Linked DNA regions of Oreochromis niloticus. The protein of the gene in region 3 purifies or fractionates together with the protein of the main gene of each other region. This does not show direct contact. Links are inferred from orthologs where the notes say so. Each region holds a gene or a part of one and is shown on either strand. Other genes may lie near its edges.

Region 1 (7,767 bases), on a different chromosome or scaffold from region 3:
TTATGTCTCTCAGTTTTTGATTTTAGATTTTAAAATAACAAATGCAGTATTTAGAAAAAAACAATTCTTTTTGTCCTTAAATTATGATTAGTGGACAAGTGGAAAACAGGCAACAAGTCAGAGTTCTGAATTATGTTTTTGTTTACCAGCTGCATAACACCCACTCTGTCAGATGTGAAGACAGTCGCTCTTTAGATGACTGTACATGGTAAAGCAGCTGGTTTTATTACTCTTACTCTTTGACTTTGGCATTGTCTAAAAGCCTAGATTTTAGTAGGTGTACTGTACACATAAATCAAGAAGCTAATCTGCTATAATCTACTTGGCTGGTACCTAAGCCTATTTACTTGCAGCTGATATGTGAAGTCAAAAAGATTTGGATTGCTGAAGTGAACTGAGCAGATCTGCTGTAATTTGCAGAGAGAGAGATACAATTACATTGCAATCTGCAGCACATTCACCGGCAATGGCTCACATCTGTATCGTGTTTGTGAATTTACCCTCTCATAATCATATTAAGCTGCAGGAGAAGGCTGTGCTGTAAATCCTTTTTAGTAAAACACTTCTATATTGCGATTTTTATAGAAATTGAATGCAAGTATTTCTGTTCTCTGATGTGAAGCTGGCCTGGATATGAAGTCTAAAGATAGTACTATATTAGCTTTTGACTTTACATTGTGAGCCCTTCCTGTTTCCTTTCACTGATGCCCGTTTCCTTTTGTGCCAACTGACACTTCCTCTTCATAATGTCTCATGGCAGCACAGCCAACATTTTTCCTAACAGATGTCCTGTTCCCAGAGACAATATGTCATTTCATACAGTGAACTAGTAATGCACAACTGCTGACCACTGCATTGCAAAAGTCCAGCTCCTGGCACCTGTACACGATACAGCACTGGTGAAGACACCTCTGGAAACAGGTCATTGTGAAAGTCGGACATTTTACAGCCCAGAAGCCAATCAAATGCCAGCTTTTGAGGGTATTTACTGTTAAAGACCTTATGTTGTTTATGCACATAAGCAATCTGTACATTAACCTGACTATGACTAGAGCAATGTTAGAATAAACGTGTTCACAGTGACCGTGTTAAGGTACTGATGCTTAGCAGATTCTATTTCCAGATAACATTTGCAAACTGGAAGATAACCTGATCCCAGTTGATTGCAGGTTTCTACAAGTGCTAGAGGAGAATTCAGGATCGCGTATGATAAAACAATGTTTACAAAATTTGAATCCTGAGATTTCCCAGTTGTCAAGTGAAAAGCCTGAGCTGCTGGTGGCGATAGATAAAAAGACTCATGGTCACCAAAGTTAGCGTCTACCTATCCATCCATTTAACAGCATGGTCTTCCTTTATGAGCTCTCCAGTATAGCTTTGGTCTTCTCTTCAGTCCTCTCCTCGCTGAAAAACCCCCAAAGAGATAACTCGGGAAACATCCACATTCCCACCATTCCCACTGGCTTCAGCTTCAACCCTGTTGACCCACGTGTACATTCACGCCTGTTAGCGTCAACAAACATGATCAACTGATTTGCAATGCCAAATACTACGGGTGAGAAATTTGATCTTGCAGAGCTCTGTTACCATTGAGATCTCATATGTTATTAGAGTTGCTTGCCTTTTTTGCTTCGAGGATCACCTTTCACCTTTCATGTACATGGCTTCAGTGTGTGCAGTAGATCACAAAGCTCATTTGTATAATGGGCTTAACTACAGCTTTTTTTCTCCCTTTGATATTAGGCCAAAGCTGTAAAAGCAACAAGGAAAAGGAATACACTGCAGACGGTAGCGGCTCCTGTGATGCCTTGTTATCACATTTTCCCTTGAGGTTCACATGTTGCCCTCTTATTTCCAAGCAGCCAGTCTTCCTTGTGTGATAACCTCTGTTTTAGGACATGACAGAATTGTTGGGACAGATAAGCAGCACTTCGGTCCCTCGTGACGTCTCTTTTTGCCCTCTTCTTGCCACGCCGTCATCACACCCAGTCTTTTGTCTTAACAGAGAAACACCCGGTGGAATACAAAACAATTATATAAAAAAAGTCTTCTTCCTCAGCGGGGCAGTGTCTGCATCGCTGGCCGGTATCCAGTCCGTAGAATGGTTGACATTAGGAGAGAGGAGCAGAGAGCCACTGATCCTGGACCAAAAGAGGGAGGGAGTGACTCAGAGGAGAGAGGATGAGTCAGGCGTCATGTGCTGAACTGGCACTTGACGCTCTCAGTGTCCTGAATGGCTTCTGTTCCCATAATAACATGCACTATTATGGTCAGATTGAGCCTACCTTTTGTCAGTCAGTCAGGCTTGAGCTAAGCTGGCGTTGGCTTAATTACATGAGCTGGTATGCATTTATGGAAATGCTTGTATGCACTGCCTTACTTCTAATACTACTCATTATCTTTAAACGGGCTCAGATGATCAAACCGGTTCAGTAGCATCACTTTTATGTTGGGCTGTTGATTTCCCAGATTGGAGATTAAAGTCTTTTATTATGGTCAGCTGCAGAGCAGCTTCTCTGCAGCTGTGGTCTCGGTCGTCTTGTGCCAAAAAAAGTTGAACCGACGCATTCTGTAAGGTCTGTTTCTGATCTGCTGATGCAGATTCTCATTATGTCTGGAAGTAAGAGGTTTACAGTAACGGGGGATGGATAACACCTCAAATTTCAAAAGAAAAGGTTTTTCTGGAGGGTTTACTTGAATAACACATTGTAACGAGCAAAAGTATGAGACAGAAATGTAGCAAGATAAATGGCGTCTGAGGTTCACAGCGATGATGGATGTTCTCCTGTGTGGTCTGTCAGCTTCTTTTAGTTCCATAATAGGGAAAAAAAGAAAAAAAGTTGCATGTCATTTTTCTTCTGCTTTATTATCAGGGACAGTGCACTTACTTTCAATGAGTCAGTCCAAACTTCACTGCTTTTCTTTTGCCGGCCGACCCTGACTCACATCTCCTTGTCTCTGCCTCACTCTCGCATTGAACCCGGCTCCCACTGTGATGAAATGTTCTTTGCTTACAACATAAAAAGCAGTCCAAAAAATACAGAAGTGTCTTTTTTTTCTTGCATTAAGACACTTCTGAGTCGGGTGCGACTGCGATACCAAAATATTTTTTGTAATTTTACAAGCTCGTATTCTTCAAATTACTCAGACAAGCATGGCACTCATAGAGAAGGCCTGGGGCAACAAAGGATGAAACAATGCCGCTTCATTGTATTTATTTAATTGGAGAAGGAGAAAGTGACTCTGCACATGGCAAAAGAAGAAAATCAGAGTCATCCTTCCGTTTCCTTTTATCCATCATTCATTCATACTCACTCTCCTCCAGCCCTGGAAAGTCCTTGGCCTCAGTGCCCAGGACCTGGGCAGTAAGAAGGAGGAAACAATGTCTGGAATGTGATGAGAAAAAAAAAAAGAAAGACAAAACTTAGTCATTCCCACATGTCAACCTCTGGCTCATTTCCTCCTCCTCCTTTCCCCAAGTATGTTGCCTTCAGGTTCTCCTCCTATTCCCAAGTTCTCTGATAGAATATGTGATCTGTACCATTAAACCAAGGTTGCGGCCACCCAGGATATTATTTATGTGTTATGTTAATTTACCATTTTTCCTCCAAGGTGAAACCGAAGCCACAAATGTTACCCCCTGTCAGTATTGCCTTTCTGTTAGGCACAAACCAAAACCCTTAATCTGTAATCTATCACACCAAAGTTTGATACTCTAACCTAAACACACACACACTTGGTTGCCAAGTGTACAAACTGTTAGAAAAAAATGACACATTTGTCCTTACATGTGTTTTCATATCTGTTGAGTTTTTAACACTCAGTTGGCTGTGGGGGCCTGAAGGCAGCAGGAGGAGGGGATTTCTTTTTTTCCATTGGTCACCATCCCTTAAGAGAAGAATGACGTCAACGAAAGACTCAATAACTGCACTCAACGCGTTTCAATAACTATTACACACAAACAGACACATGCACACACATATACATACACACGCACGCACTCAGGGGCCTTTGAATCCATCTGTTTGCCTCCTCCTTTTAAACTGTCCTTCCAAGACAGATGAGGTTTTGAATAATTAGTTTTTGATTATGAAGTATTGGAAATGAATTTGTGCTTTGAAGTGTAACGTCATCATTTACCGTCACCGATAATGACCGTGTTTGCCATTAACAGAAAGGACATGGCGCTGTACAAATGTCACAACAGCAGGACTACAAATAATAGATGAGAATAGACTCGCAGAGTGCATCGGTGTTTTTTTTTATCGCTTTACTGAAAATAACTCTTTCAGTTCATTTATAGTGAAGTCGCTCAGTATTCAGATAAGCTTTATTTTAAATGCACGCACTCGATATAGAAATGGTAAAAGTGAAGTCAGATTTCCTGAAGACTACATATGTGTATTTCGGTTAAGCTAAACACAAACCGCAAGGGCAAATGAAAGCTTTACACAATCGCTAACACACTACCCTGTGTGCATCTGTACTACCTTGTCACAGCGCACGGATCTGTTTATCTCTTAAGGCCACTTTTCCCACTTCGGCGCCTCTCTTGAAAACTGCGCGTTCACGCGCTTCTCTGGCCAGCCCAGTATCGCGGGCGCTCGCTCCCGCGCCAGGCTGGTGGAAAAAACTGCAGCGGCTGTTGCTGGAGCCACGCAGAGAGGAGCGGTGTGGGAGAAATCACGGGCACTGGCAAGAGTTGAGCGGCACACACTCACACAGTCGCACAACACAGGCAGATTTTGTCGTTATTCCTGCCGAGGGCGACGCTGTCAGAAGCGGGGTTCATGGCTGCCAAGAAGTGATAGTATCGACGAGGAGCTCTTCGCCGTTCAAAAAGGTATGGAAAAGTTAGCTCTGGGTTCATTTTTTCGCCCCCCTTCGCAAAATTGAAAGTGTCTCAGCCACAAGTCTCGCCAGTTTCTTGCGGCTGCCCAAGTTCCAGGTTGTCAGCGAGGGTATGGCGTGTCTTTGAGGAGGAAAAAATCCCCCCAAAACTAGCGGTTCTGTCTTGTAATGTCAGATTTGTGCAGGATAGAGATGTGAGGAGAAGCCAGTGGAGAAGTTTGCTAGCCGTGCTCGGCTTCAGCGAACTGAGAGCTAATCAGTGACTGCGTGCTGACTTTGTAACATAGCTGCTGCTGCTGCTGTCATAAGTTGAGTGAGTGAAGGCTGAAGTGGAGGGCTACAGATCAGTTTGTTTAAGAACAAACGCACAAACAAAAAGATGCCACTCGTGTGTGGTTTAGCGTACACCTGGTGTGGAATTGAGCCCGTCCCAAAAGCACAGCTTGCCCGTGTTTACAAAACGGGATAGGCAGAGCTCAACTTTAAACTGCTGACCAAACAGGGGTCCAGGGACCACCACGGGTCTTTTAGTGGGGAGTGGGAGATGGGATCGTGTGTGTGTGTGCGTGTGTGCGTGTGCAGGCGTGAGAAAGAGAGAGAAGTCACCACCCTGAATGGGGATAACAAACACAGTGGAAAGAGGATGTTTCGCTATTCTCAGCACTGTTACTTTCCTCCCTGCCGAACACTCGTGGGTTTATGTGCAGATTATATGCAACAAAACTAAAAAGAAAAATCAACTTTCTGCATGTTGATTGCATGCATGTAGTGCTCCTATAGATTGTACTGTTTTAATGCATAAACTGCATGTATTTAAAGATCACCTCCTGGTTGCTTGGAGTGAGTGGGTTGCTAGAGTCCTCCTTGCCATACCGATAAACAGGTGTCGGTTCACCAGTTTGTGTGTCATTCTTCCCACTCAAAGATTCAACTGATTGTTAACACTGGGTTTCATGATCACATGATCATCTTACCAAAAAAACAAACAAAACAAAACCCAAAAGAAAGAAAAGAGAACCTGATCCTGCTGTATCCCACTCAACTAGCCATTTAAATCAAACCCCACAGTGGGACCTGTGTTGCATAAAATAGATGCTGTTGTCCTGCATTTCACTGGGACTGATTTTTATATGCATCTGTTTGTTGTGTCACCTTGTTTTTTTCTGTTTTGTTTTTTTAATATGGCCTAATCACAAGGCTGAAATTATAATCTACAGCTTTAAATATAATACAGAATTCACCACTACTGTTGTGAAAACCCTCCTTAAATTGCTACCTAAAAACTGAGATCGAGAACCCTTTTTTTTAAAAGTGATACTTTTGCCTTCCATCTGTCGAGCCAGGTGTGTTATCTGTAGAGTCAACTGTCTGTCCCGCTGTTTTTGAAGATCGTCATGGATTTAGAGGAGGAAAAACAAGAATTGCCAGATTTCTTAAAATACCCTTTACTTTAGTGGAATTAAGTATTAAGTGGTCTGGTGTTTTTTTTTTTTTGTTTTGTTTTTTGTTTTATCACCGATTGTAAAAGTAAAACATTCTTCTGTTTCAGTGTCACGAGTCACTGCCAGCAAAAGTTGACAGAAGCGGACGCTGAGCTCTTGATAAACGACCTCTGCTTTGTGCGTTCATGTGGGATTGAGGTTGTCGGTCCTTGTTTTTACTTGCTCCTTTCTTTTGTTTTGATTACAGTGTCAACAAAGGTGGGCATCTGGGATTGTTACCTCACCCGGTGGAGGCAGACGAGAGGGAGGCCAAGTTGCCGATCTCAGATTTCCCTTCTGATAAGTGCCCTGTGGATGCTTATCCCCCCTCCTGAAGTGTGCGAACACAAAAATTGTTGGATTGTTTGCAGTATCTCAGAGTTGCGAACATACCTGACATTCTTTGTGGTGAGCAACAAGAAGACAGTGTTTTCTCTGGTTGACAGAGCTGCATGAGATTTTGTGATTCGCTGTTTGACTGATGGAGGTGCAGTCTGGCAGTAGGGCTACAGTATATGCTGAGGTGATTGGAGCAAGATATAATAGCATTTTCGTTTTTTTTGCCTTTGACCTTTCTGTTTGCCCATCACAGATTGTCAGGTGTAGTGCTGATCTATGTTACCAAACTGGAAATGATATAAATGGGATCTAAATGACCTTTTACGTTACACTGGGCTCCTTTTTGTAAATGCCTTGGATGATGCGTTGGCTCGGAGACATGTCTCAGAATCTTTTTGTGTTGTGAACTGGAATGAAAGTTGTCTTTGTTTGTTGGTTAGTTCAGTGACCTGGAGTTTTACCTGAACTGGGCGTCGTTCCTATTTGTTTGTCAAATACTGTTTTTTTTTTTCTTTGTTTTTTTAAGTGGATCCTGGTACAGTTTTTTTTCTCAATAAATAAATCACAGCCTGTGGATTTGCAAAAAAAAAAAAGTTGTAGTATGAAAACTTAACAGTGCAAACTTTAGTCAGGTGTAACCAAGAATATGACTCAGAATGGCTGAAGAATCTTCATCAGTAGATTATGTGTTGCATTATTGTTCATTTCACGGGGTCAGTAATATTATCCCTCTAGATAGGAAGTTTACAGTGTTGTCTTTTAAATGTTTTATGAAGTTGAAAACATACAAACATGATTTCGCTCTCCATAAATTGCTGTAGTTTGAGCTAATGAGCTTTGTGTTTAAACATCGTTACTCTGGTACAGAGCAGCGTGACAGTGCTGAACACATTAAAGTAAAATATGTTATGGATTAATCTGAGTCTCATGATGAGGTCGGTATATTGATGAAGCTTTATTGATGTCAGTGCCATTATCCGCTCTGCCTGGTGCCTAATGTTGGATGTTATTCGAAAAAGTCAGTTTATTGCACATTACTTGTTACTTACACAGGTGCTACATTACTCTGGTGTTACGTAGCACGTCCTGAGATACA
Region 2 (8,122 bases), on a different chromosome or scaffold from region 3:
AATAAAAAGCCACTCTGCAGACCTCACACCACGTCCAGATCTGACCTCGCAAAGATGGCCACTCCACTCAGATTTCAACCAGCCAATTGAGTAAATCTGTGCCGGTGAAGAAGCCCGTTCTACTCACCCTCCCCTCAGCCTCGCTCTGGCATGTAACAGGTAGCCAGGCAGCTATTCGAGCAAGGTTTTAAGAATTATTTATTCGGGGTGGAAGCGATGAAACACCTGCTTGACCGGCATGCTTCTGGGTAAAGCAATCTAACATGTGTAAATAACAGCTTCCTATGAGAGTAGCCTTGCTTTTTCCTGACATCTTAGGAAATGTCAATAGCTGTTCTGTTACTTACCAGACTCGCGCTGTTTACAGCACAAGGATAATTTGCGATTCTCGGGGTTGTTTGGGACTACGCAGCGTCAGTCTCATTACAAATGCATAGGTTTTAACAATGAGATAATAAACCTCTCAAATGAGGCGGCCCTTTCCCATGCCAGCGTATTGTTAGAAATGTGTACATCATTGTCAGTGATGAACACACAGAGCCTGAGACTCAGGGGCGCACAATGTCACACACACACTCGCACATAAAGGCTGAGAGAGGCGCTAGGCTGCCGCAGACACAATGTGGATGTTACATAATAACAGCCGAGCAGAGACCAAAATGTTGCGTGTTGTGCGAGTATACGTGCGTGTGTATTTACGGATTAAGGGCTCCCTCGTGCATGCAACCAGTCTTTTATATTATGTTACCTTCACAGTTTTCTCAGTGCACAATTCCAGGAATGTCCAATGGATAACATGTGACTGGTGTGATCTGATTTGAAGCTGCTTGCTTTGAGCCTAAATTGTGCTGCAGTTGCCCTGTCCTTGTAAATCAGGGTAAAATAAAGTCCAACCCCCCCCACAAACACACACACACACACACACACACACACGTGAAACAGACTTTATTCCTCTCGCAAAACAGATCACAGTGGGTTATGAGCCCGTGTGCTTCCTAAACGAGGCTTAGTGTCCTCCTGTTCCATCATGGCTTTTTCATCCCCACTTGCAGCTTTCAGTCATGTATTTAGGTCTTAAAAAACAGGGACATTGACTTCTGGTTCCAAGCCATGCATTTCAAACGGGGGCCCTAAGCAGATATGAGTGCTCTTCCACAGCCAGAGACAACAAAGATAATCAGTGAACGACCCCAAGGAGAAAAAAATCAATCTGCTTGATCCCCTTTTAAAAGCTATTAAGATAAGTCTCCTTCACTGAGAAGCACAAGTGCAGTGACCTAAATCAGTGCAGACATAAATGACAGGTTGGCGTGGGGGCTGAAAAGGCCACTTAAGAGATGCTGTGTGTTTCATAATCACCCCAATCAAGACTTTACAGTGAGGTTAAGCCAAGACCCCATGGGTGTTAATCCATCCCAACAGTTCTGATCAGCATATGCGGCCACAGCAAGCACATACACGCAGTAACTACACAGTGTGCCTCTATTAGCAGCAGAGCCCAGGAATACAGGTGTAAGGGCCAATTCCCCATTGTTTAAAGAAAGAATGGGACCAAAGTATTTATTTAGGAACTTTTAGATTCCGATTAGTCGACGACCTGCTTTACTTCCCTACAGAAACCCCATGATGTGGGCCATGCATGATGACTAAGGCAACCAGGTGTGTTTACAAGTGCATGTACTCACCATTGAGTCCATTGGGGATGCTTCTGTGATGATGTGGCGCTGACAGGTCATCCATGGATCTTCTCATCGTGGGCCCCATCTTACCGTTCTCCGAGGGCTTGTGCATGTGGTTGTGATTGTGGTGATCGGGGCTACCGGCACTTCCTGTGCTGGACGTGCTACTCCCATCTCCAACATCCCTGACCGTGCTGGTGCCCCCGTTCAGGTTGGTCAAGCTGGACTGACTATCTATGGAGCTCCGGGACCCTGCCCCATTCCTCTCTTCATCCAGCATGAGGATGATCTCCTTCAGTTCAGAGTTCTCCCTCAGCACAGTCTCCTGGTTGGCCTCCAGCTCCTTGAGCTTCATCATGTAGGTGCCCACCTCCTTCCACATGGCGCTGGCTGTGTAGCGGCCGAAACGCTGCCACTCCCGGGACAGCTTCTTGCCCTTCTGTCGGTCGTCGTCCAGGAAGCAACAGAGCTCCCGGAGCTCGTGGTTGTCATCCTGGAGCTTCTGGTTGATCTCCTTTAGGTTCCGGATTTCATGAAGGTGCACCTGCAGCCGCCGGTTAATGTCCTTCATCATGTTGCCATGCTCGATCATCAAGTTCATTTTCTCACCGTCAACCCTCCTTAATTTCCTAACCAGCTCCTCTTTGCTGCACCGCAGCAGCTCATCGTCCGTCAGCTGGCTCAGGTCATCCTTCGGCCCCTCGGACGGATTTTTAGCCATGACTGTCGCGGCTACGAGTCTCAGTTCGTTTATGCAGCTGCTTAAAATTAACTCTCAGAAACTCACTAACCTAACCTCAATTGTGGAATCGTGTTAAAACACGAATACATTGTCCAAAAAGGGGGGAAAAAATCTGAAAAGTATCGATAATGCCCTGATCTTCAACAGGCCGATAATAAAACTGAAAAAACAAACAACACAAATATGATTGTGATGCTTCCACAACCACAGCTTTTAAAGAAATGCCACCACTGATCTGGTAAGAAATAAATAAAAAATACTCACAGGAACAACAGTTGGTGGTCACAGTCGGTCAGAAACAAACAAGCGATATAAAATCGATTATCAGGGATTTCCGATCACCGAGTCCTGTCGGCAAAAACACAGCGACCCGTAACAGTGTGCACAGTCTCTGCTGGACATCACAACATTCACATGATGTAAAACGTGAAATCCACCAGACTGCTTCTTCCTTTATGTTTAGATGAATTCAACCTAATTTCGCGCAAAACAGCGAATGTTCGAGTAAAACGGGCAACCTATAAGAAAAGCCCTCTTGGACGTGTTTCACCGTCTCCTCGGATAAAAGCGTCTTCAGTGAGGCGGCGCGATAGTGGACGACTCAGTCCTTTCCACCCAGCCAGGCAGCCAGCAGGCTCGGAATTATCAGTGGACCCCCGCCTCTCTCCTTCTCCTCCCTCTTGTCCAAACACTCGGGTTTGAAATCATTCAAGACGATTCAGCTCGAGACGACCAATCAAGACGTGCGAGAGAAGTAGGCAGCAGGTAGATGAAAAAGTGCGGTGCAGCCTCACAGGGCTCAGGCTCGGCCTTCTTAAAGGTACAGGAGGATATGCTCGTCGTAAAAACACACTGGATTCATTAAAGAAGGAGAAGAAAAATCAGACTACGCCTCATGACTTTTATTCTTTATTATTAAATGAAGCACAGATGTATTGTGTACTTTTAATGGCCGTGATTTCTTTGACAATACTTGAGCATTGAAAAGTTGGGCTGTTTTATTGAAATAAGCCCCCAAAATATTTATTTAGTTAAAAAACAAAAATATTTCAACCTATAAAATGACAGTAGGTTTTAGCTACATGCGTATTTAATTAAGTATTAAAAAAATATTACCATCTGTGTTTAAACGAGAGACAACTTCTGAGAGAGTTCTTTTTCTGAACATTGAATTTAAACAGCTTTTTAAAAGCCAGAAGTCTCTGCAAGATCTCAGCGCCCCCATGTGGACACTGTCCGTAAATGCATTAACACGGCAAATCGGGTACACAATCACTGCATAGCACAAAAATATAAAACAATTGTTTCCAAATGATTTCCAATTACATAAAACGTTAATATTTAGCACTTACATATTAGTGTTGTAGGCACAAAGGGGTCTGTGGTTATGAAAAAAAAAGTCACGACACACCGTTATATGAGTCTGTGCAAGATTAAGCAAACAAGTGCAAATGGTATTAAACCTAGCTGTCCGCCTCAAAAAATTTCCAATATGCTCTATATTGTGAAAAATAATTATCACCATCATTTCATATGGCTTTACCATGTAATTCATATCTGATACTGTTTTTATTATAACAATTTATTTTTTTAATCACAGCTTTTAGGCAGGAGTAAAGATCAACACAGTTTTACCCTATAGACCACTATGATTTCTTTTTATGTAAAGTACTTTAAGATCATTTATTTTTGTAATCCCTGTGATTCAAAGTGCACAACACTCCACTCTTTGGTCTGAGCGTGCCAGCATCCAGGATGTCAAAGGTCTGTCCCGGGACAAGAGTGAAGTCAAACCTCTGGAGCAGTTTGGCCATCACCACTTTAGCCTCCATCTTTAAAAAAGCAAAAGAACCCACAGAGATGAGTCAGTGTGTTTATAGGTGAGCGGGTCTTCATGTTGACTTATACTGTCATCCTCACCTGAGCAAAGTTCTGTCCCAGACACGAGCGAGGACCGAGGGCAAAGGGGTAGTAGCAGTAATAAGGCCTAGTTGAACAGATAAGAGACCGCCTCAGTTACTGTGATCCATTTCACTCATTTAGTCTGAGATAATAAAGTGTGTGCAAAGCTGAAACGTAATAAAGTCAGCATGGTGAAACAGTGTGTTCCTTACTTGGGAGCATCTGGGTGAAATCTGTCGGGATCAAATCTCAGTGGATCCTTGAAGAATCTCTCCAGTCTCCCGCTCACATAGGAGCTGAACTGAATATGAAAATAGTTAATTTCACATTTTAATCATAAATGTATTTGTACTTGCTTAAATAAGACCTCATATGTTATGTTTTTCTGACAACTTTGTGACAATTTTGTTTATATGTATACTACCAGTTAAAGGTTTGGACACTTCTTATTTTCTTTATTATGTTTTTTCTTTTTTTTCATGACTATTTACATTGTAGATTCTCACTGAACACATCAAAACTGTGAATCAACACATATGGCATTATGTAGTAAACAAAAAAAAAAAAGTGAAATAACTCAAAACATGTTTTATATTTTAGATTCTTCCAAATAGCCACCCTCTGCACTCCTGGCATTCTCTCGATGAGCTTCATGAGGTCATCGCCTGAAATGTTTTTCCAACAGTCTTGAAGGAGTTCCCAGAGATGCTGAGCACTTGTTGACCCTCTTGCCTTCACTCTGCAGTCCATCTCATCCCAAACCATCTCGATTGGTCAGGTGACATCTGGTGCAGCACTCCATCACTCTCCTTCTTGGTCAAATAGTCCTTAAATAGCCTGGAGGTGTGTTTGGGGTCATTTTCCTGTTGAAAAATAAATGATGGTCCAACTGAACACAAACTGGATGGGATGGCATGTCACTGCAGGATGCTGTGGTAGCCATGCTGGTTCAGTGTGCCTTCAATTTAGAATAAATCCCCAACAATGTCACCTGCAAAGCCTCCCACACCATCACACCTCCTCCATGCTTCATGGTGGGAAGCACGCATGTAGAGACCATCCAGTTGCATTTTCTGCGTCACACAAAGACACAGCAGGTGGAACCAAAGATCTCAAATTTGGACTGATCAGACCAAAGCACAGATTTCCACTGGTCTAATGTCCATAACTTCTGTTTCGTGGTCCAAACAAATCTTATGCTTGTTGCTTTTCCTTAGTCGTGGTTTCTTAGCAGCTATTTGACCATAAAGGCCTGATTCACACAGTCTCCTCTGAACAGTTGATGTAGAGATGTGTCTGCTACTGGAACTCTGTATGGCTCTAATCTGAGGTGCTGTTAACGTGCTGATTCTGAGGCTAGTGACTCGGATGAGTTTATCCTCAGCAGCAGAGGCGACCCTTGGTCTTCCTTTCCTGGTGCGGTCCTCATGTGAGTCAGTCTTGTTGTAGCACTTGCTGATCTTTGAATGTGTCCACAAGTGTAGTCACAAAGTTTTAGCAATTTTCCAGACTGACCTTCAGTTCTTAAAATAATGAAGGACTGTCATTTTTTCTTTACTTAGAATTCACATTACGGCGAGAACCAATCAGCATAGGGCTGTCAGCTGTGTTCCGACCTGACTTCTGCACAACACAACTGATTATCCCAACTCTATTAAGGCGGCAAGAAATCCCACAAATGAACCCTGACAAGGCACACCTGTGAAGTGAAAACCACTTCAGCTGACTACATCATGAAGCTCACTGAGAGAAGGCCAAGAGTTTACAGCGCTGTCAACAAAGTTAAGGGTGGCTACTTTCAGGAATCTATAAAACATATTTAGAGTTTTTTTTATTTTCTTTGCTACATAACTCCATATATCTTGCTTCATATATTTGTTGTCTTCAGTATGTAGTTATCATTTAGAGCTACAAACATATTAAAAAGAAAATGGCTCACAATAACACTAAATCCCCCGGGTATGTGGATACCATCAATCACCATGTCTTCAGCAACATCACGAGACGTGCCCGGAGCTGGGGGGTAAATTCTCAGAGTCTCTTTTAGCACCTGAAGGAAGATTACAATGAGCGGTGCACACTTTGGGTGAGTTATTAAAATAAATAAATAAACAAATAAGTGTACCACGTGTACCTGTGACAGGTAGACCAGCTCTCCTAAGTCATCATAGCTTATGTCACGTTTCATCCCAATGACGTCATCGACCTCTTTCTTTGCTCTAAGAAATAAAAATACAATTTAGAAACATGATGTTTGATATTTGGATGGATCAAATTAGAAGAAGTTACTTTCACACAACGGGTTGACAATCAGATCTGAGGGACACACTGATTGTAAGAACTGGGATCAGGCTGACTGTACAACAACTGTGTCACGGCAAGAAGATTTCTGAAGATCTCACAGACTTTTGTTTAAGTCCTCTTTACTTGTAGGACCTTGTAGGTTCAATCAGATGATGTTTCAGGTTATATTCATGCAAAAATATAGAAAATGTTCTGTTTGACTTCTTACTTCTCCAGTATTTCAGGATGTCTTCCAAGCGCCATGATGCAAAAAGCCAGTTGATTGGCTGTTGTTTCTTGGCCTAAAATGTTACCAGTTTGTCAATAATGCATCAGAATATTACTTCAAAAGGAAACAGCCATGCAACTCTCACTCAAGAGGTTGTATTCCTAATTTCTACATCACAAGTCTTTGAGTCTTAAAAAGCCCAGTTAAGTTAAAATCAATAACATCATTATGTAACAAAAATAGATCATATGTTTCTTTTACTTTGTTGCTATTTTATTCATTTACAAATGTTATCGTCCTGGTCACAAACAAAGTTTGAAAAGAGTAATAAAAATGTATTTTTTTTTACATTTGAGACAAACAGTCAGTGACACAGGAACTAGAGTTGTGTGACACAGTGTGTGTGGAGATATTATGCAGCCTCTCTGGATAAGCATATATCAGTATGCTCTACCATTAACATTAAACTGCAGCACACAGCAGCAGGATACAAATTCACACAGACACCAGTGACCATATTGTGTAAAACTGAAAATCAAACGGACTCTTCAGCACAGTGAGCTTGGTCTCACGCTACAAAGAAGCTTCCAGCTGCATTTCACACATCGAAGCTGAAACAACAGAGACTCACCTGCAATGAAGAATGTCACAAAATTGTCCAGCATGAATTCTTCATCTTCTTCAGTCATGTTTTCCTCTGAAATGAGAAGAGAATGGACATATACATTGATATTTAACATTTTTGTTTTATTTACTTTGTCTCATCACAAAGAGACTAAAATATTGCTCTTATCTAACCAAATGTGAAATTTAGGAACTACAACCTTGGCTTGCAGTTTTGATGATTTGTGTCAGGATGTCTTTGGGGACCTCGTCACCGTTTTGCATGGCGGTCTTTCTCTCACCGATCCACTTGGCTCCAGTTGTACGGAGCAGGCGGCACGCTTCCCTCACCTCATTGACGTATCCTCTGTTCTTTGGATTGTACTGGAATGGCAGACTGAAGGGTTTAGCATGGCATTCTGACAACAATGTTCTTGGCAGACATATTAACATACATAATAACAAACACTGAAGTAATACCTCAAAAAATATGTCACTAAGGTAGGGAACCATGCCTTTCAGACATGTCTCAATGGCTTTAGGGAAAGGTGAACTATTCTTCAAGAGGTCCAAGTCCACCCCAAAGGCAACCTGAAATTTATCAACATAAGACATGCACAGTCATTCACTTACACGTAGAAGATGATTGTAGCCTTTATAACTGTAATATAATACCTTAGCAAT
Region 3 (8,346 bases):
TTTAAGCCCAGAAATTCTGCTGGAAAAGTTGTTATTCTAAGCTTTGGCAACAACTGCAGACACTGGAAGGCAACCCATCAAAGAGAAACCGATCAAAAACTCTGGCAATAAAACATGTACCTGCAGAACCGGAGTTACCAACAGTAACTACTTTATTCTGAGCTTGCCGTTCCTCTCTTGACAAGGTAGGCTGCTCACTTGTGGTAGATAACAATGCAATCAGTCGATGAGTAGCTTATACTGAATGTTGATAACAGCTTTTGGCCAAAGGCTAACGGAGCAGACTGATTCAATTTTATGTTTGTGGAGCAAATGAAGGGTGTGCTGCATCTGTCTGCGCTTGTCTGGTAGGAGAGGCTCATGACAAAGCGCAGAGAGCTGCACTATGTACCGCGGAAACACCAGCCTATCAGTTTTGCAGCACACAGACAAATCTGATTAGACACTATACACTTCACAATTCATCTTGATACTTCTATCAGCAGCTACATCATCTAGCACACTAGTGGCCCAGGTTTACTGGTCACTATTAAAGTCTAACCTGGCCTCTGGTCAGGAGTTTCAAGTAAAACTTGTGTATTTACGTTCACAATCACTTGTCTTAATTGCAGACTTGACATGCCTCAACAGTGTTTTTCCTTATTAGGCGTCTTCTGTGGACTTAACAGTCGTTGGTGTTACTGATTAATAAATATAATAGTGCATTATTTCTGACTTTTCTGTTACCGTCAGAAGAAACCACTTACTGACCATACTCTATATTTACATTAATTAGCTACACTCTATTCTACTACTACAAGCTACTGTCTATTCTGACAAATGTCTTTCCCACAAAATTACACAAGACTGCACTGAAAGCTGAGCTCTCTTATCTTTGCACTGGCATTAAATGGCAGCATTAAAGTAATTCGTGACTATTCTAACATCAATTTCTCTCCATATTCTTTAAGTCTCTAGATATTTTTTTAAAGTAAAGCTTTAGTTGAACTTGTAACAACCTCTGGAAATACACAAATAATTTTACTTTGATGCAAACGCAAGCCAAAAAGGTCAAAACCCACTGTCCACAACACGCACCATGTGTGCTAGTATATTATCTCCCTGTACCAAGTGTTTCTTGCCTCTGGCCAGTACACGGCCACCTCCCACCTCCCACAGTGACGTTTCTGTTTGTGATGACGGAGGTGAGTACCTGATGGGCACGACAGATCAGGTCCAGGTCATGCTTGTGCAGGAACTTGGCTACCACCTCTGAGCCAAAGGTAAATGACACACCTCTGTCGTTCTCCCCCCAGCCCAACACATCCTTGTCTGGATCAGACCAGAGTAAATCACACAGCAGGCCCTGGTCAGGCACGTCAGTGGGACGCATGATGCGTCTGATCTGCTCCATGGACTGAAGGTCAGGGGACAGTCCTAAATGGAACAGTAAAGTAAAAGTACAAATAAACACACTGATACTGAGGTCAGCACCGATTGGAACTGGGTGAGCTTCATGTCAGGTAACAAATTGCAAAGACAGCGTTTCTCAAGGACAAATAAGAAACGCTGATATCAAATGTACACAACTTCTGACATCATGCATACAACCAAAAGACTGTAGAGTAGATAGTAGAGTTTTGTGCCAAAACATTCATTCTGCGCATTATAACCCACCGCCATGGCAGCAAAAGATCTTCTCATCAACAATGGCGGCAATCGGGAGGCAGTTAAAACAATCTGTGAAGGTCTTCCAGAGTTTGATGTTGTACCTTCTTTTACCTAACACAGTAAGACAAGAAATTATATTTAATTTTTTCCCATTATCTCATACCAACAACCTCCTTCAAACAGTTTAGCCGGCAAAAGAAAACGCAACAGAGAATCTGACAGGTACCCTTAATGGACACAAGAGACCCCAGGCTGGACATTTCTAGTCATTCAACAATACTCACACTCATCATAAAAACCATATATTCTGTTGATTGAAGCACACTCATGGTTTCCCCTCAGCAGGAAGAAGTTTTCTGGGTATTTGATTTTGTAGGCCAGTAGAAGACAGATGGTCTCCAGTGACTGCTTCCCCCTGTCCACGTAGTCCCCCAGAAACAGGTAGTTGCTCTCAGGAGGGAAGCCCCCATACTCAAACAGCCTCAGCAGGTCATAGTATTGCCCATGGATGTCACCTGCAAGGCAAAGATACCAAGCTGAATTATACACATTGCTCTTTTGAGTCATAAACCACTTATCATACGTCAGTACATACTATCAGCCAATTGCTGAGTCAATCTTTTCTGGTAAGTAAGTGCACAGCTTTTCTTACCACAAATCTTGAGGGGGGCCTCCAGCTCCAGGAGAATGGGTTGACTGAGGAAGATCTCCCTGGACTTGAGGCATAATCCACGAATCTCGTTCTCCTGCAGCTGAACATTCTTGCCAGGTTTTGCTCCTCTGACTGGAACAAGAAGACAAAAATCAATAAAAGTCAGTAAGAATAACACCTAAACACTATTCCAGCTAACCCGGGCACGGTATCTCTGCCCGGACGCCAAGTGGGACAAACGGTGAGTGTAGAAGCCATATGCCGTGACGGAATTCGCGGTGTTTGTGTATGAGAACACAGTGTACGTGACATGTCGTTTCACACCCTTCAGACACACCAATATTCTGACTCAAGAGACGCATTATATAAACCTGGTAGCCAACATTAATTAAAATAATAAGTTATCTTGCAAATATTTCTGATTATTGTTACTAATTATTGCCACAAGATGAACACCAGCTAAAGCTAGCTATCTACTATTAGCATTTACCATAACATTTAAATAATAAAACAAGTGTTTCGTGGAAATTTTAGTATTTACTTACCTTCTAAAAGCCGCTGGATGATACTATCTATGTTGAGCTTGTCAACATCAGCCATTGCAAGCGTTGGTGTTACGAAAAAATCGCTCCAGTAGATCTAGGTCTTCGCGTTGACACACTTGTGAAAGCTAGCCCGCTAGCTATCCTAGCATTAGCTTGCTAATGTTAGCTTCGTCTATTTTCCGGCTGAGGGTAAAAGATGTTGCCGTGACCCTGATACTGTTTAGCCGCTCGCCGACACTTTTGACAGGCTAATACGCTACTTAAAGATCGCGATTTTAAAAATGCCAACATCAATTGTTTCGTTTTGTTAAAAAAAGGGACGGGGACTATAAAAAAATAAGCGTCAACCAACACAAGCGGTTGCTAGCGACGGTGTCCCGTTTCTGTTTTTCCTTTGCCGCACCTTGTACTGCTAAAGCCAGCGGCTTGTGCTGGTAGCTGCTACACTACTGCCCCCTACTGTGCTGGATGGGGACAGCTTAAGACTTTATGAAGTCCTTTAAATTTTTTTCTTTGGATATTTGTTGATTTTTCACTCATTTTCAGTCCAGTCCTTGTACCTGACCATTTTCAGAGGGATATTTTTTTTTATTTGCGTGTTTTGTAAGCTACTTAACCCACAAAAGGGACCTAACTCAAGAAATGAATCAGTGTTGTTTCTACACATAACACACGACTTAGCGCAGAACCAATTTTAAACTGTACGTTGAGCCACTTTGTTATAGCCACCTGACACAGTACCTGAACGTCATGTCGTTTGGACAACATGACAGTGATACCAAACACACTGCCTAAAAGTATATCTGGATGGAAAAACACACACTATGGTTTGGCCTCCTCAGTCACCAGCCAAGTCCTCAACATTATCGAAGCAGTGTGGGATCATCTCAACAGAAAACAGAATAACAGGCAGCCAACATCCAAAGAAGAGCTTTGATTGTCCTTCAAAAAGCCTGCAGAACTATTCCTGAAGACTGCTTAAAGAAATGGCAAGAAAACGTCCCTAAAAACGTTCAGCCTGTTGTGAAGAATAAAAGTATTCATATCAAATATTGACTTTGAAGTTCATTAGAAATTTCTAAACTTTTGGCTTATATAGTCTATTTCCATGTATGCTTGATCTTGTTTCAATAAATTGCTCCACTTATTTTCCATTTTCCTAGCAAAGTATAATGAAATTAGGTTTTTTCACCATACCGGATATTAATTTTACAGGTTCCTGTTCTGTGTTATCTGAAGAGGAAAGAATTCAGTATGATGAACACTTTTGCTTCAATTTGAAAATCAGTTAACCAATAAAAACCTTAGAGACGCACCAATTTCTAGACAATCAAGAAATTGATTTACATGTAAAATAAAGATAAAGGGTATACAGTAAGTGTAATTACAGATTAGCTTCACCATTAACAGAAAGTGAGCTATGGTGGAGTAGCCACCTATTCTTCCATGGAAAAGTGGATGCAGACTGTTTAGAGTTTAACTTTAACATATATTTATTTAAAAGTTTTAGCTGTGATTGATAAAGTACAAGTATAGTCTCTAAATAGACACTGCATCTTTCAGATTAGCTGAGGTTAGTGAAAACCTGGGTGCAGTTGTTGTTTAATGAGTAGAAATTACTCCCTTTGGAAAATAAACCTTTAAACAGAGCCTTTTAAAGGACACACTGTCTACCTAGCAATCCTTTCCCTTATATTTATACACTTAAAGTACTCTTTAAGGCAAAATTGAACAAATGGGTCTTGGAGCTTCTGGGTTCCAGTGTTCTTCTACTGATCAACTGTGAGCACTGAAATAAAATGACTATATACAGATAATTAAATATCAATACTTATGGAAGATGAAATACACTGAGATTCAGCTTCTCCAATGCATCTCTCTGAGGTTGAATCTTTCTTTATTGATTTGTCAAAAACATCTGACGTCAAATACACTTTTAATTTCACCTTTGAAGAGATTACTAATTTATATTCAAATAATATACATACATATACATGTTATAATCATGAATGAATGAATAATGAACACATTGATCCATGTGCACATTCAAAAACTGAAGCTGAAGTTAGTTACATTTTTGCTGTCATATGTGATCATATCTCAGCACAAGTACGACCCGGTGAGGGAGGACGTGATTATTCCTGGTCTTTCTCTTCACCGTGTGTGATGACATAGACGAGGTTCTTGTAGTCCAGGTTCCCTGCCACATCTGGAGGGAACGCCTGAAACATCTGCTCCATCTTTGGGTACGAAGTAAAAAGAATGGTTACAGAGCGTATCTGCATTTATAAAAACTCAAGGCTCCACAATCTGTTACATCGTCGGAGGTGGAGCACTAACCTCTTCAGCAGAGAATCTGTCAGCCTGGGTCGTCAGCATCTCTGTCACACTGTGAAGACGAGCAGTGATGATCAGCAAACGAGATGCAAATATCACGAGTCGCTTAAGAACCAGACTATTACTCACAACTCTTTCTTTAGTGTTCCTTTTCCCTCAGGGTCAAAGACTTTAAAAGCATTAAGGATAGTCTCCTCTGGGTCAGCACCTATAGATGAAAAGTGGCAGTTCTGCATTGAAGAAAAACAATTTCACTTTTTTTCAACGTCATATAACGGCAACTCGTTTACCTTTTAGTTTCTCTCCAAACATGGTGAGAAAGACAGTGAAATTAATGGGCCCTGGTGCCTCCTTCAGCATGTCATCAATCTCTTCTTGTTTGACATTTAAACGGCCTGAAAAACATGGAATATATGGTGAAACGGGGGTTGCAATTAATGCTCATTTTTTAAACTGATATTTTATTGATGGAAAATAGTCCAATAAAGAGATTAAAACAAATCCACAAAAGCTCAATGGAACTATTAGATGGGTTGACTATACCATCCAGCCCAAAATGACCAAAGAAGGAATTAGAAGAGGATGCAATTGCTGGAAATTTGGAATAACAACAGTTTTCCAGCTTTGTATTAAAAAAAAAGAAATCTATAGAGATTTTTTCAAGGCACATTCTACGCTTGGTCCTTTAAATATAATCTAAAACCGCTGGAACATTTAAACAAATGTAGAACATGAAGTCAGCAAGCTTGATGGACAGTATTCAATATAATACACAAAATTTTCCAAAAAAATTAAACAAAATTGAATCCCAGGTCGATAAAGACTAGAACAGATTTGTTGCAGTAAGTTAAGGTTCTTCTTATACAAAATAAAAACTAAATGAACAATAATAAAGAAAAATGAGGTGTGGCTTTTGATAAAACTCTTTGAATGACTATCTAATCAATGTATTGGCGTAGAAATGGAAAATGGAATAGATCACACCACAAATGTTCGGAATAACTAGCTCAGGCAATAGCTATCATTATATCCAGAGGACATAATGTTGTTTATTGCAAAATGACTCAGTTGCAGGTTTAATACATTTAGTAGAAACAGTTGGAGATATTTCCGGGTATGCAGTAAATATGTTGGCAGTAAACCCTAGGAAGGAAAACATATGTATTAAAATAAAAACACCGGGAAAGGTTTTGAAACTCTTTTTGAAATATGTGGAAGATCTGGATCTGACCAGGAGTCAGTCAGTATCTGTTTGTTGTGAACCATGTGTTATTTAAAAAGATAAAAATATCCTTTTAATGTAAATTGGATCATGTTTGTTTGCTGTGCTTTTCTTGTTTAGTCTGTTTTGTATTCTTTTTAATAGGTTTGCTTGTTTATGTATAATATTAATAAGTCTTAGGTTGGGGGAAAAAAGTCCGCTAATGATTAATCTGATGACTGCTACAGCTCAGTTTGTCAGTTATCTGTTTCTTCAGACATTATTTTAAAAATGGTAATTATACATCCCAGAACTCAAGGTGAGTTCTACTAGCTGAGACAATGAAATTCGTGCATGTGAGAAGCTGGAACCTGAGAATTCCTAAGGTTTGTTTTTTGCTGGACTTGTGTAATGTAATCATGTGAAACCATCACAACAGAAACGTGACACACAGTGAGTTTACCTAAAGCTGCAAAGGTGTCCCTCAGGTCATTCTTGTCAATGAAGCCATCTCTGTTTTGGTCCATGATAGTGAACGCCTGCAGGAGTATACACAGCGAGCAGACATCGCAGTGAGTAAACCGCTCAAATTCAATGTGAAAGAAAGCATTTGGCAGAGTACCGACTTCTTTGAACTCCTGGATCTGGGCCTGTTCAAACATGGAGAACACATTGGAGCTGGCTCCCTCCGCTCTCTTCTTTGCTTTCTTGGGTGCCTGTGGGGGGTTTAACGATGACACTCTTAATTAGATCCAATAGTAATGACACACGATCGTCACCTGGCTCTTCCGTATGGCTTTACTCGTTATCGGTTTTACTGTCACACGTGGTAATGAGCCAACGATCAGCTCACTCTCACTAAGTGCGTGTGTGTGTGTGTGTGTGGTGGTGGTGGTGGGGGGGGTGCATCCATTGCACAAGAGGAAAGGTTTGTACTGGGGGGCACACATTTCATTAGTGAGGATTACAAACACTGTCAGTTTGTTATGGAAATATTTATTCGAGCCTCCAGTTTTGGGAGCACACAGGGTAAGCCTAGGGAGGGTGTGGTCCACTGCCTGCACTCTCATAGTCCCAGGATCACATGAGGGATTATTCTATAGGGTCTATGTGATGACAGGAGGGTACACTGAGCCCTGTTTGATCAGAAATCCCTCAGAGGGAAGGATTATGTTGAGCTATTTACATGACTGCCAAGAAACTGTGAAAAACACTGTAAGGGGGATGCAGCGCAGTGACATCATGTTGCTCGGATTCAGGGTCCTCTCGACAGCTGCTGTCTAACCCTTGTTGTGGATTAGCTCTTGTATATCTCATGGAAGGGACCTCTGGCATTCGGATACATTTATTTAATTATTTATTTTGTTTTAAGAGGATTCATGTACTCGTGGGCAATGAGGCAGAATTTGCCATTTCTTGCTGTTGCCCAATGCACATCACTGTTGGACCAGCGGAAACTTTATTGGGCCAAATATTACACGAATAACCACTGACCTCTTCATAGCCTGCACCTGTTGCTCATGTTTCTCTGCTGTCTGCTCCGCACTCCCTTTGTTTTGCTCTTTCCAACCCGGTTGGCTGCTCTTCTAAGTCTCTTCTCTGTTTTTTGCTGCCTTTCTCTCACCTCTCTCCTCTTCATCCCTCCCATTTCCTCTCCTTAAATATTGTGTGTGTTTTAAATGTCATTGTTCTGTTTTATTGTAAACACGGAGGAAAAAGTCGCAAGTAAAATATATTTTTTTTAAGGTTAAGGCTTTCCTTACCGTCTCCTCCTTCTCAAGTCGAGTAGACAAATATCTCATCAATAGGACAACGGGAGCATTGTCCGATTGATTATTTAAAGAAAAAAAAACATCTCCCAACATACTGACATGGAGTACATTGGTGCATTATCTGTTGTTTGAAAAGAGCAGACTTTGATGGACTGTTATACAGATATCTACAGTAAACACATTAATCAC

The links. Proteins that work in one complex are often made in the same cells at the same time.
Region 1: the proteins of serine/threonine-protein phosphatase PP1-gamma catalytic subunit (region 3) and peak1 purify together in Homo sapiens (affinity purification with mass spectrometry; 6 studies listed by BioGRID and IntAct, counting the BioPlex papers as one, with this or other methods). This does not show direct contact. The link is inferred for Oreochromis niloticus from reciprocal best matches to the Homo sapiens genes PPP1CC and PEAK1.
Region 2: the proteins of serine/threonine-protein phosphatase PP1-gamma catalytic subunit (region 3) and ccdc85cb purify together in Homo sapiens (affinity purification with mass spectrometry; 5 studies listed by BioGRID and IntAct, counting the BioPlex papers as one, with this or other methods). This does not show direct contact. The link is inferred for Oreochromis niloticus from reciprocal best matches to the Homo sapiens genes PPP1CC and CCDC85C.

What each region holds. Positions count from the first base shown.
Region 1 is NC_031972.2:45,118,410-45,126,176, forward strand, and holds the start of peak1 (inactive tyrosine-protein kinase PEAK1), read left to right. Parts: upstream 1-4,637; 5' UTR 4,638-4,843; intron 4,844-6,540; 5' UTR 6,541-6,740; exon of another isoform or gene 6,741-6,855; intron 6,856-7,767. UniProt on the Homo sapiens protein: Probable catalytically inactive kinase. Scaffolding protein that regulates the cytoskeleton to control cell spreading and migration by modulating focal adhesion dynamics. Acts as a scaffold for mediating EGFR signaling.
Region 2 is NC_031980.2:2,937,480-2,945,601, reverse strand, and holds the start of ccdc85cb (coiled-coil domain-containing protein 85C-B), read right to left. Parts: upstream 3,131-8,122; 5' UTR 2,401-3,130; coding exon 1,686-2,400; intron 1-1,685. Other genes in the region: cholesterol 24-hydroxylase, read right to left, coding at 4,101-4,253, 4,342-4,408, 4,536-4,624, 6,263-6,373, 6,458-6,542, 6,836-6,908, 7,467-7,532, 7,660-7,822 and 2 more. UniProt on the Homo sapiens protein: May play a role in cell-cell adhesion and epithelium development through its interaction with proteins of the beta-catenin family. May play an important role in cortical development, especially in the maintenance of radial glia.
Region 3 is NC_031977.2:6,410,574-6,418,919, reverse strand, and holds the start of serine/threonine-protein phosphatase PP1-gamma catalytic subunit, read right to left. Parts: upstream 3,275-8,346; 5' UTR 2,903-3,274; coding exon 2,848-2,902; intron 2,435-2,847; coding exon 2,303-2,434; intron 2,166-2,302; coding exon 1,935-2,165; intron 1,762-1,934; coding exon 1,657-1,761; intron 1,417-1,656; coding exon 1,193-1,416; intron 1-1,192. Other genes in the region: myl2b (myosin, light chain 2b, regulatory, cardiac, slow), read right to left, coding at 4,983-5,087, 5,188-5,236, 5,314-5,392, 5,475-5,579, 6,849-6,924, 7,012-7,101. UniProt on the Homo sapiens protein: Protein phosphatase that associates with over 200 regulatory proteins to form highly specific holoenzymes which dephosphorylate hundreds of biological targets.